Linked DNA regions of Ovis aries. The protein of the gene in region 3 interacts with the protein of the main gene of each other region in a pairwise test. Links are inferred from orthologs where the notes say so. Each region holds a gene or a part of one and is shown on either strand. Other genes may lie near its edges.

Region 1 (3,747 bases), on a different chromosome or scaffold from region 3:
AGCCCGGTTCCTGGGGGCAGAGGAGGGTGCGGTGGGCACAGCAAGAGGCTAGAGCAGGCGGCAGTTAGAGCCAGACCCTCACTCACCTGGGCTGAGGCATTGGCTTGGAGCTCTCGAAGTAGCTTCCCCTGGTGTAGAATCCGGAGCCACAGGGGAACCTGGGCTGGTCCTGCAATAGCCACACACATGGAACCTCTGAAAGATGGGTGCTCTCCCTACCCTCTTCACGTGTCTGCCCCCATCCCGCTTACCCCCACTCCTGGACTCCAGGAGCCCACGGAAGAGCAGCAGAAAGTGCAAGGAGTCCTCTGTGTCACTGAGAGTGAGTAGGGCGATGCCCCCTATGCCTGGCTGTGGGGGCCCTTCCAGGGTCAGGATGGCACTGAAAGTCTCTGGGGAAAAAAGGACCACGAGAGCCCATCAGAAAGTGCCCCCCTCAGCCCACTCCATTTCTGGGGGGCCAAGAAGACTCTGAACTTCACGTCCAGGAGAGATTGGCTCCCCTCACCTGCAGCCAGGGCCCGGTGCCGAATGAGAGGTCCCCAGACCTCCCCTGAAGGGTGAGTGGGTGTCACAAGTGCCACATACAGCTGTTCTGCCCTAAGGAGTCGCAGGGACAACCGAGGCACTGCCCGCCACACCCCGCAGACCTGGAGCAGAGAGACAAGAAGGCCCTCTCAGTATACAGGACATGCCTGCTGAGAGGCCCATGTCTGGTGAGAAAGGAATACGGGAAGCTGTCCCCAGGCTCTCCTAGGATGTGTAAGAAAGGGCCCTGGAACCAGATGCCAGGGTTCAAATCCCAGATCCTCCACCAACTAGTTGTATGACCTTGAACAAATCACATTCTGCTACTGAGCCTCAGTTCCCTCATCTGTAAAATGGGCATCATAATGTCAGTGCCTCTCTCCCACTGGGCTGTTGTGAGGACCCGAGGAGGCAATGTAGAGCATGCTCTCAGCATAGTGCCCAGATGGGATAAGCACTCATAAATGGCATCATCTCACCAGGCCATCTTGGGTGGGCGCTGCAGGGTGTTCAAACAGGATGCTGCCAGTGGAGTCAGAGAAGCGGATTCGGGTAGGGCGGTCCAGCCTGGTAATGAGCATCCCTTGAGCACCGGCTCTGAGCCTGGGCCAGAAGCGCTGCTGCAGCCTCTCCAAATTCTCCCTCCCTGGCCCCGGGCTGACCCCTCCTCCCTCCTTCCTCTTTCTCACCGCCGGTAGGAGATGGAGAACCGCAGACTGGAGCGCTGCAGCGACACTCGAGCCCGCGCCACCGCTTGCGACCTTGGCCCTGTCAGCAGCGCCACGAAGTCTGCGAGGGGAGGAAGATGTCCCTAGTTCCGTCACCCGCTGCTGCGGCCCGGCGCCTGTCACAACCCCAGTTCCTACCCGGCCTCTGCCTACCCGTGTGGCCGTCTCCACGCCCCCGATCCTCAGCTCCTGGCTCCCCACGGTCGCTGTAGCTTCGGTGCTCTGGGTCGCGTGGATACTCGAAGGCCAGGCCCGTCGGCTGCTTTTCCGAACTGCTGTGCTCTGCACCGAGGGTGGGGGACACGGGTTTCGGGTGGGCAAGGAGAGGGCCAGTTGACCGTTCCATTCCGCCCAGCCACGCATCTCGGCCCTGCCGCCCTCCCCTCTCCGCGGAGCCGGCCTTACCCTGGGGGCAAGTCTGGCAGCAGTGTCCAGGCAGCTGGCGCGGCTGCCCACACGCCAGGGTTGGGCACTCGGGCTTGATGTTCTTGCAGCTGACCCTGCCTGCGCCCCTTGCGCGGCGACCCCACTGAGGCTGCTCACAGAGAAGACGGAAAGCCGAGTGAGGGCAAGACATCAATTGTTGAGAATCAAAGGCAAGCCGAGAAGGCATCGGACAAGGTCAAGGTCGGCCCACGGAGTCAAGAGTGCTTTGCTACCTACAAGCTGCGTGACTCTAGACAAGTTACTTAACCTCTCTGGGCTGCGCGGTCCCCGTCTGAAAAACGGGAGCAATGATACTCTCTGTCTAACGCGGTTGTACTAGGAGTTAAGTGAGAGATGAAATGGAGTTGGCTAAGAGCCTGACACAGTGGACGATCAATAATAGGCAACACCTGAGACTTGAAGGGGGCGCTTCCTCTCCTCTATCCTTCCTCGTGCCTCCTCCGCCAAAAAAATTATCCCAAATATCTGCAGACTGGCTTCTTTCTCTTCAGCAGCTCCGGGTCCATCCGACGTCCCAAGACCTCAGCGCTCCCCGACCCACAGGGCCCCCGGCCACAGCCATTGGGTCCACTCACCGCCTCGCAGGCGCACAGCACGCAGCGCATCACCCCGAAGGGCTCCCCCAGGTCCGGGTGCCACGTCTCGTCCAAGGCATAGACCTTCCCGCCGAAGGAGCAGCCTGCGGGGACGGGCTTGGCTGGCGGCCGCTGTCCCGCTCCTGCCGTGTGCCCGCCCCGGGGCGCTGCGGGCCGGGCCCCGGGTCCCTGGGCACCCCTCCGGGCCGCCCGCCGCGCCGAGCCACCTGCGCCCTGCGCCCCCTCCGGGCGGGCGCAGACTTGCCCCGAGCCGCACTCCCCGCCCGCGCCTCCCCCGGGGCGCCCTCCTACCTGCTGCTCCCCGAACGGGCAGCGGCTCCTTCTCGGGCCGGATAGGCAGCGCGGGGTGCTCGGGGCCGGCGCCGCGGGCCGGCCGGGAGCCGAGCAGCAGCAGCCCGAGGAGCAGCAGCGGGGCCGGCGGGGCCGGGAGGCTCGGCATGACGCGAACGGGACAGCTGGGGAGGCGGGAGGGAGGAGGGAGCGACAGAGGGAGGAGGGAGACGCGAGGAGGGCCGGGCCGGGGGCGGTGCGGCGGGAGGGGGCCGGGGCCAGGGCCCGAGCGGTGCGGCGAGGGGCTCGTCGGGCGGCCGCGGAGTCGGCGCCGGGCCGGGCGGGGCGGGAGGAGCGGCCGGGAGGAGCGCGGGCGGGCGGGCGCTGACCCGGGCCGTACGCGGCTCTAGTGCCCCAGGCGCCGGCTCTGGCCCGTTTTATGCCCCGCGCCCGGCGCCCCGGCCGGGGGCCTCCTCCTCAGCAAACGGGGCGGCGGCGGCGGCTCGGCGAGGGGCCGGGCTGAGCCCGGGGGGTCCGGCCCAGCAGCAGCGGCCCGGATCGCGAGTGGGGGAGGGGAGGGAGGGGCTGGAACCGGGCAGGGGAGGAGGGAGGGGCTGTAGGGGAAGGGGGAGCGGAGGGGATAGGGGGAGGGGAGGGACCAGGGGGCGCAAAGCGGGGAGGAGAGGCGGATCTGGAGCCCCCACCACCACCCACCCGCTGCCGGCGTCCACGGGGCAACTGGACCAGGAGGTGCATGTCCGGCCCGGGACGGGAGCCCCAGGCCACGGAGAGGCAGAGACGGCCTGAGGCCTGGGCCGGCCACTGCGCTAGGACTGAGTTCCTGCCGGAAGGATGAAGAATTGTCTTTAAGGATGACAACGGGCAGGACGGGCCCATCAACTCATCTTCGCCTGTCTCTGGGCCCACAGCACCACTCAATCCCCACACCACTCTCATTGCCCAGCCTGTGTCCCTACATCCCCTCTGAGATCTCTCCTCTTTCCTCTGTCCCTGGGATAGGAACTTAGCCAGAAACAGACGGTATCCCCTTTCTGTCTGCTGACAGCATTTCTCTCCCTACTATTACCTGTGCTCAGGCCCATCCAACCATCCTCCTCCCCAGCCTGACACACTTCCCCACCCTCTTCCTTCACCTGCAGGACCCTCTGCCTCTCCAC
Region 2 (3,647 bases), on a different chromosome or scaffold from region 3:
AAGAAAGTTCCCCATTATTTTTCTAGCAACACCAGGATTTTTATCTAACAGAAGGTTATAGAGAAGATCATCGATACACAGAAGAGAAAAATATGCTGTTTCTCTGACTGAATGAGCAGGCGTTCTGGGATCCAGCCAGTTCAGACTCACCAATACCAACCCCCGGGGCAGCACTATGCAACCCTAATTTTAAAACCATGAATATCAATCATGCCTTGAAGAAATGTTAAACATGTAAAAGATCTGTGCCCAATGAACCTTTAAGAAAATCCACCTCACTTAACTCAAAGTCATACTGACAGTAAGACCTGCATTTGGTTTATTTATATTGTGTTGAGACACTGACCTTGTCCTGCTTAAGCTTCCACATTTTGATGAAACCATCGCTCGATGCTGTAACAAGAACACGATGCTCTGGAGTTTCAAAACTGAACATGTCTTTTACCCTAGGACAAAAGCAGTGACACCATTAAAGAGCCTTTCCTACAGACAGTATGATGCTGCTAGAAAACTTCAGGCACAGTCTCTCGACTTTTCCAGGCTTCAGGTGTTTCCAAACTGCTCAACAAACAGTGCCAAAAGTTTAACATACCTCACAATCCCATGACTTGGTTGAGTCATTTTCAGGGTCTAAATTCCAAGATAGAATTGACTGTCAACCATACCTTAAGAAGGACTTGAAAAGACTATAAATGATCAGATTATCAGGAATAAAAAGAATTATCAGGAATTAAAGGAAATAAAGATATTCAAACCCCCTCCACCTCAGGAAACTATATTGAGAGAAAGAGGTGACTGAGGCTTCCTCCCCTTGTCCTCAGGGCCTACCACCCACCTTCTGAGTTACTATCATTTTCCTTCTGGATTATGGAGTAAACTAACTGGCCTCTGGGCTTCCATTTTTGCCCCCTAACAACTTTTTAAAAAATCAAACTATGTTATTCCCAGGTTTAAAATTCTACAGAGGTAGGTTCGGTTTCAAAATACCACAAGAGGGAGGAAGTGGCTGGGACATAGAAAACCCAACCCCTGCAAAGGCACTCAAACTTCTTCCCACAACACGCCGGGCCCGGCACCGTCGGGCTCCCTCTGACCCAGTGACAGTCTTCTATCTGTTCCTAAAATACACCAAGCTCTTTTATCCCTCTGGGCCACTGTGCCTGCAATTCTCTCCCTTTTAGAAATAACTCCTTTATCCCGAAGGTCTCATTTCCTCTTCCCCGATCATCCCATCCAAATAAGTTACCTGTGTCATTCCCAAACCGTAATATCTATTTCCTTCCTGTTAGGATTACCTGAGTTCTTGTTTGTCCTATTTGTTGCCCCCCAATAAGATAAGAGCCAGGAGAGTGCAAGCTCCTGCTGCAGTTTTTCGTTAGGGCTGCTCAGCAAATACTTGTTAAACGAACAACCAAATATCCACGAAGAGCTATATGGCCTTGAAGAATAGGCTCCCTTCCCCAAAACTAGGCAGGTAGAAACGAGGGCCTGTCTAGTGAGTGCAGTATTGTATTTGTAAAGAGAGATTTCTTAAAGCTAAACTATGATATAGAAAATGAAAACTAAGAGTTGTATGGGACTTCCTTGGTGATCCCGTGGCTAAGGCTCCACGCTCCCAATGCTGCTGCTACTAAGTCACTTCAGTCATGTCCGACTCTGTGAGACCCCACAGACAGCAGCCCACCAGGCTCCGCTGTCCCTGGGATTCTCCAAGCAAGAACACTGGAGTGGGTTGCCATTTCCTTCTCCAATGTATGAAAGTGAAAAGTGAAAGTGAAGTCGCTCAGTCGTGTCCGACTCTTCACAACCCCATGGACTGCAGCCCACCAGGCTCCTCCGTCCATGGGATTTTCCAGGCAAGAGTACTGGAGTGGGTTGTCATTGTCTTCTCTGACGCTCCCAAAGCAGGGGACTCAGATTCGACCTACATCCCACATGCCACAGCGTGCTGCAACTAAGACTCTGTGCAGCCAAATAAATAAGCATTTTTAAAGAATGAATAAGAGTTGTTTGAAACATAAAAGAATATGCAAATAAAACATATTACATCACCATTTTACAAAATTACAGCAGACAAAGCAGAAGCAGTCAGATAGAACTGGGTTGGTTCCCTTCTCTATCATCTAACAGGGTGGTAACCTTGGTCCGGTTATTAACCATTGACCCTGAGACTCACATCTGCCTTTAGAGATACAGTGAGCAGTAACGGAGATGGACGCAAGACAGAGGTCAACATGTCATTTATTTCTCCTGCAGGAAAAGCAGAGTGTAGGAAGAGGCCAGTGGACAGGCAAACAGAGGAAAAAAAGACAAGAGTGGTTGGGGCAGAGCTAATTTTTTTTTCCCACTCAAGTATGAATTGAGGGTTCCAGGCAGCAAGTGTAATGAAATTATTGAGAAAATAAGTCTGTTGTGCCAATGACTAATCCTGGTGACGACTTCACCACTTTTGCATCACTATGGCCAAGACAACATTCCCACCATCCTCTTGAAAAAAATCAGTTTTGTAGATATGTCTATTTTTGTAGTCATTCACAAAAAAGTCTGCCTTATGAAGCTACTGCCCTTATAAGAGACCCTCCACATACAAGCCCACAGAGATTAGTGTGTAAAAAACAAAAAAAGTACCTGTTTTCATGAGCTTTAAACTCAGAGAGGCATGTTAGGGAATCACAGTCAAAAAACCTTACAACCTCTTCATCTCCAGCCACTGCGAGGACAGATTCCTAACAGAGGGGAAAAAAAAAAAACCACACATTAACACCCAGAATGTCATCAACAATTCTGACCATCACAGTATACACTCAACTCCCACCACTGACTTCTGATCACTCACTGAAAGAAACGCAACAGAAGACACTCTCCTTGCATTTGTGATGGTGCCACTGACGGACGCAGTGTCGAGCTGATAGACATCTATTCTGTTCAGTATGACAACTACGTACTTCTCTCCTTTTGGCGACCATTCCACTATGTGAGCGTCTGTAAGTTACAAGAACAAAGCTGTTGTATTTCATAGATAAAAAAAGAAACTGATCGGGGGTCATAAAAAAATAGCAAATATTTACACTGGGCACTTTCACACCCATTATCCCATTAAACCTTCACAGCAAACTTATGATGCATATTTTTATGAGTTAGATTTTCGACAAGGAACTGGTTTGAAGAATCATTAAGGTCATACAGTTCATAGGTGGCAGAGCCATGCCAAAAATCCCAATAGAAAGAGGAGGGAAAAAAGTGACCTAAGGCCTATGCTCTCAGAGAGAGCCACCACCATGTAAGGAAATAACTGTAGGTGTGTGGACACGAGAACTTGTGTGTATACACATTCACAGCCTATCAAATTTTCAAATGTTTTTAAACAAAAACACTCACTTTGGGCTTCCCTGATGGCTCAGTGGTAAAGAATCCACCTGCCAATTCAGGAGACATGGGTTCGATCCCTGATCTGGGAAAATCTCACAAGTCTCGGAGCAACGAAGCCTGTGCACCTCAGTTATCGAGCCCTCATGCCTTAGAGCCTACGCTCCACAACAGAAGGCCCTGCTGTGAGAAGCCCGCATGCCGCAACAGAAGAGCAGCCTCCAATCGCTGCAACTAGAGAAAAAGCCCTTGCGATGACGAAGATCCAGCACAGCCAAAAA
Region 3 (3,647 bases):
TGCCCTTGTGCCTACCATGTCTCAGTGCCCTTAAATTTAAGTGGTACCATTGAATATTTCCAGACATTAGGGTGAAAATGAAAGCGACATGGGTCATTTCCAGGTGAAAACATTTAGAGGTCAATGCCTGAACCTCCAGCTCTTTCTTACCTCTTGCAGTTACCAAGGACACCACATGTCAGGATGCTAGAAGGTCAGACTGGGTCCTGAGTGATTATTTGGAAAGCTGGACTTGCAAAGTTAGTAGGGAGAGTGACCAAACAGTAAACTTTATGCTTATGTCATTCAGATTTGAGGGTTAATGTATTACTGTGACATAAACCCTATCCTGAGCAGTAAACGAAACTAACATGGGGTTTCCAAATTTCTAGTATGTGAAATAAGGAGATTTTAAAAATAAACAAGATGAATGGAGAGAGTAACATGGAAGCATATACACTGACTTATGTAAATAAACAGCCAATGGGAACTTGCTGTAGGACTCAGGGAACACACACTGGGGCTCTGTAACAACCTAGAGAGTGGGACAGGGTGGGAGGTGGAAGGGAGGTTAAAAAGGGAGGGGACATATGTACACCTATGGTTAATATATGTTGATGTATGACAGAAAGCAAACCAATATTGTAAAGCAATCATAAATCAATTAAAAATAAATGAATATAAAAAATAAACAAAAGTCCTCTCCATATGCCATCATTATATAAAAGACATAATACTTTAGAAACAAAAAATATAAGATACAATCACAGAACAAAGGATGATTCCATAAACTGAATAAACCCAGAGGGATGGGATGGGGAGGGAGGTGGGAGAGGGGTTCAGGATGGGGAACACATGTACCCCCGTGGCAGATTTATGTCAATGTGTGGCAAAACCAATACAATATTGTAAAGTAAAATAAATAGATATGACTATTTTATTCTTCAGGGAGCCCTTGGTAGCTCAGACAGTAAAAAGTCTGCCTGCAGTACGGGAGACCTGGGTTTGATCCCTGTGTTGGGAAGATCCTCTGGAGAAGGAAATGGCAACCCACTCCAATATTCTTGCCTGGAGAATCCCAAGGACATGGGATCGCAAAGAGTCAGACACGACTGAGTGACTTCACTTCACTTTATTTTATTCTTCCTTAATTATATCATTATGCTGGGCAAAAGCTTCATCATGAAAGAGAAAATTGATCTTCCCAATGATATTTGAGAATCACAGATCCAGATATCTAGAATTACAGATCATGATAACCACGCCACGGTGTGATCACTCACCTAGAGCCAGACATCCTAGAATGGAAGTGAAGTGGGCCTTAGGAAGCATCACTATGAACAAAGCTAGTCAAGGTGATGGAATTTCAGCTGAGCTATTTCAACTCCTAAAAGATGATGCTCTTAAGGTGCCAGCAAGTTTCGTAACTCAGCAGTGACCACAGGACTGGGAAAGATCAGTGTTCATTCCAATCCCAAAGAGAGGCAATGCCAAAGAATGCTCAAACTACTGCACAATTGCATTCATCTCACATGCTAGGAAACTAATGCTCAAAATTCTCCAAGCTAGGCCTCAACAATATGTGAACCAGGAACTTCCAGATGTTCAAGATGGATTTAGAAAAGGCAGAGGAACCAGAGATCAAATTGCCAACACCCATTAGATCAAATTCTAGAAAAACATTCACTTCTGCTTTATTGACTAAACCAAAGCCTTTGTCTGTGTGGATCACAGCAAACTGGAAAATTCTTCAAGAGATGGGACTACCAGACCCTGTCTCCTGAGAAATCTATATGCAGGTCAAGAAGCAACAGTAAGAATCGGGCATAGAACAACAGACTGGTTCCAAATTGGGAAAGGAGTACGTCAAGACTATATATCATCGCCTTGTTTATTTAACTTCTATGCATCGTAAGAAATTCTGGGCTGTATGAAGCACAAGCTGGAATCAAGATGGCCAGGAGAAATATCAAAACCCCAGATATGCAGATGATACCACGCTTATGGCAGAAAGTGAAAAGGAACTAAAGAACCTCTTGATGAAAGTGAAAGGGGAGAGTGAAAAAGCTGACTTAAAACTCAACATTAAAAAATCAAAGATCATGGTATCCAGTCCCATCCCTTCACGGCAAATGGATGGGGAAACAATGGAAACAGTGAGAGAATTTATCTTCTTGGGCTCCAAAATCACTGCAGATGGTGACTGCAGCCATAGTAAAAGATGCTGGATCCTCGGAAGAAAAGCTATGACCAACCTAGACAGCATATTAAAAAGCAGAGACATTACTTTGCCAACAAAGGTCCGCATAGTCAAAGCTATGGTTTTTCCAGTACTCCTGTATGGATGTTAAGAGTTGGATCGTAAAGAAAGCTGAGCAACGAAGAACTGATGCTTTTGAGCTGTGGTGTTGCAGAAGACCAGAGAAGGCAAAGGTACCCCACTCCAGTACTCTTGCTTGGAAGAGTCAGACACGACTGAACGACTTCACTTTCACTTTTCACTTTCATGCATTGGAGAAGGACATAGCAACCTACTCCAGTGTTCTTGCCTGGAGAATCCCAGGGATGGGGGAGCCTGGTGGGCTGCCGTCTAAGGGGTCGCATAGGGTCAGACATGACTGAAGCGACTTAGCAGCAGCAGCAGCAGCAGTTGGAGAAGACTCTTGAGAGTCTTGGACTGCAAGGAGATCCAACCAGTCAATCCTAAAGGAGATCAGTCCTGAATATTCATTAGAAGGACTGAAGCTGAAGCTGAAATTCCAATACTTTGGCCACCTGATGGAAGAACTGACTCATTTGAAAAGACCCTGAAGTTGGGAAAGACTGAAGGCAGGAGGAGAAGGGGACAGCAGAGGATGGGATGGTTGGATGGCATCACCGACTGGGTGGACATGAGTTTGAGTAAACTCCAGGAGTTGGTGATGGACAGGGAGGCCTTGAGTGCTGCAGTCCATGGGGTCACAAAGAGTCTTAGACTACTGACAGACTGAATTGAACTGATCTAGATATTTTTTAAATGGTGAGAGAAGACTGTTGACCCAAAGCAACTAAAAATATATAATGACAATGTCCAACATTACCTGTCTTTCAGTGAGATCCAGATTCACTGCTATCTCATATCGCCTCAGTCTGGTCAGATAATTATGATGGGCAAATTCTGCTTCAAGTTCTCTGATTTGCTCTTTGGTAAAAGCTGTTCTTTCCTTTCTGGGTTTGCTGTTGACTTCTGACTTGTAATTTCCTTCCTGGGAGTCTGGTGAAAAAAAGTAAAAGAATTAGATTTAGTTCATTCACTCAAACACATTCAATCATTTAATTTAGAACAGAAACATTTACTGAATAACTACTTTTCCAGGTACTCTATTAAACACAGTAAAAATAGAGAGAAACCAAAGACAGTAAGATTTATCTTGACAGGGTGAGATAAATTGCATTTTTTTCCTATGCGCCCTGAGGTGACTCACAGCCTAACTGGGGCTGTGTCTAGTTTTCTTCTTTTGAAATATCAATATACACACAAAAAATTAACTGTTCTTAATATGCTTCCCTGGTGGCACAAATGGTAAAGAATCTGCCTTCAATGCAGAAAACACTGGTTCAGTCCCTAGGTTGGGAAGACCCACTGGAGAAGGGAATGACAACCCACTCCAATACTTGCCTGAGAATTC

Evidence for each region.
Region 1: the proteins of MEOX2 (region 3) and CHRD interact in binary tests that used the Homo sapiens proteins (3 or more experiments, as listed by UniProt). The two-hybrid records come from large-scale screens. The link is inferred for Ovis aries from reciprocal best matches to the Homo sapiens genes MEOX2 and CHRD.
Region 2: the proteins of MEOX2 (region 3) and PAK1IP1 interact in a two-hybrid assay, tested with the Homo sapiens proteins (2 studies listed by BioGRID). The two-hybrid records come from large-scale screens. The link is inferred for Ovis aries from reciprocal best matches to the Homo sapiens genes MEOX2 and PAK1IP1.

Annotation. Positions count from the first base shown.
Region 1 is NC_056054.1:203,596,955-203,600,701, forward strand, and holds the start of CHRD (chordin), read right to left. Parts: upstream 2,748-3,747; 5' UTR 2,739-2,747; coding exon 2,591-2,738; intron 2,383-2,590; coding exon 2,279-2,382; intron 1,792-2,278; coding exon 1,662-1,791; intron 1,539-1,661; coding exon 1,410-1,538; intron 1,318-1,409; coding exon 1,218-1,317; intron 1,096-1,217; coding exon 1,008-1,095; intron 651-1,007; coding exon 509-650; intron 393-508; coding exon 252-392; intron 170-251; coding exon 87-169; intron 11-86; coding exon 1-10. UniProt on the Homo sapiens protein: Dorsalizing factor. Key developmental protein that dorsalizes early vertebrate embryonic tissues by binding to ventralizing TGF-beta family bone morphogenetic proteins (BMPs) and sequestering them in latent complexes.
Region 2 is NC_056073.1:44,622,698-44,626,344, forward strand, and holds part of PAK1IP1 (p21-activated protein kinase-interacting protein 1), read right to left. Parts: intron 2,983-3,647; coding exon 2,837-2,982; intron 2,727-2,836; coding exon 2,629-2,726; intron 447-2,628; coding exon 347-446; intron 1-346. UniProt on the Homo sapiens protein: Negatively regulates the PAK1 kinase. PAK1 is a member of the PAK kinase family, which has been shown to play a positive role in the regulation of signaling pathways involving MAPK8 and RELA.
Region 3 is NC_056057.1:25,002,731-25,006,377, forward strand, and holds part of MEOX2 (homeobox protein MOX-2), read right to left. Parts: intron 3,233-3,647; coding exon 3,060-3,232; intron 1-3,059. UniProt on the Homo sapiens protein: Mesodermal transcription factor that plays a key role in somitogenesis and somitogenesis and limb muscle differentiation. Required during limb development for normal appendicular muscle formation and for the normal regulation of myogenic genes.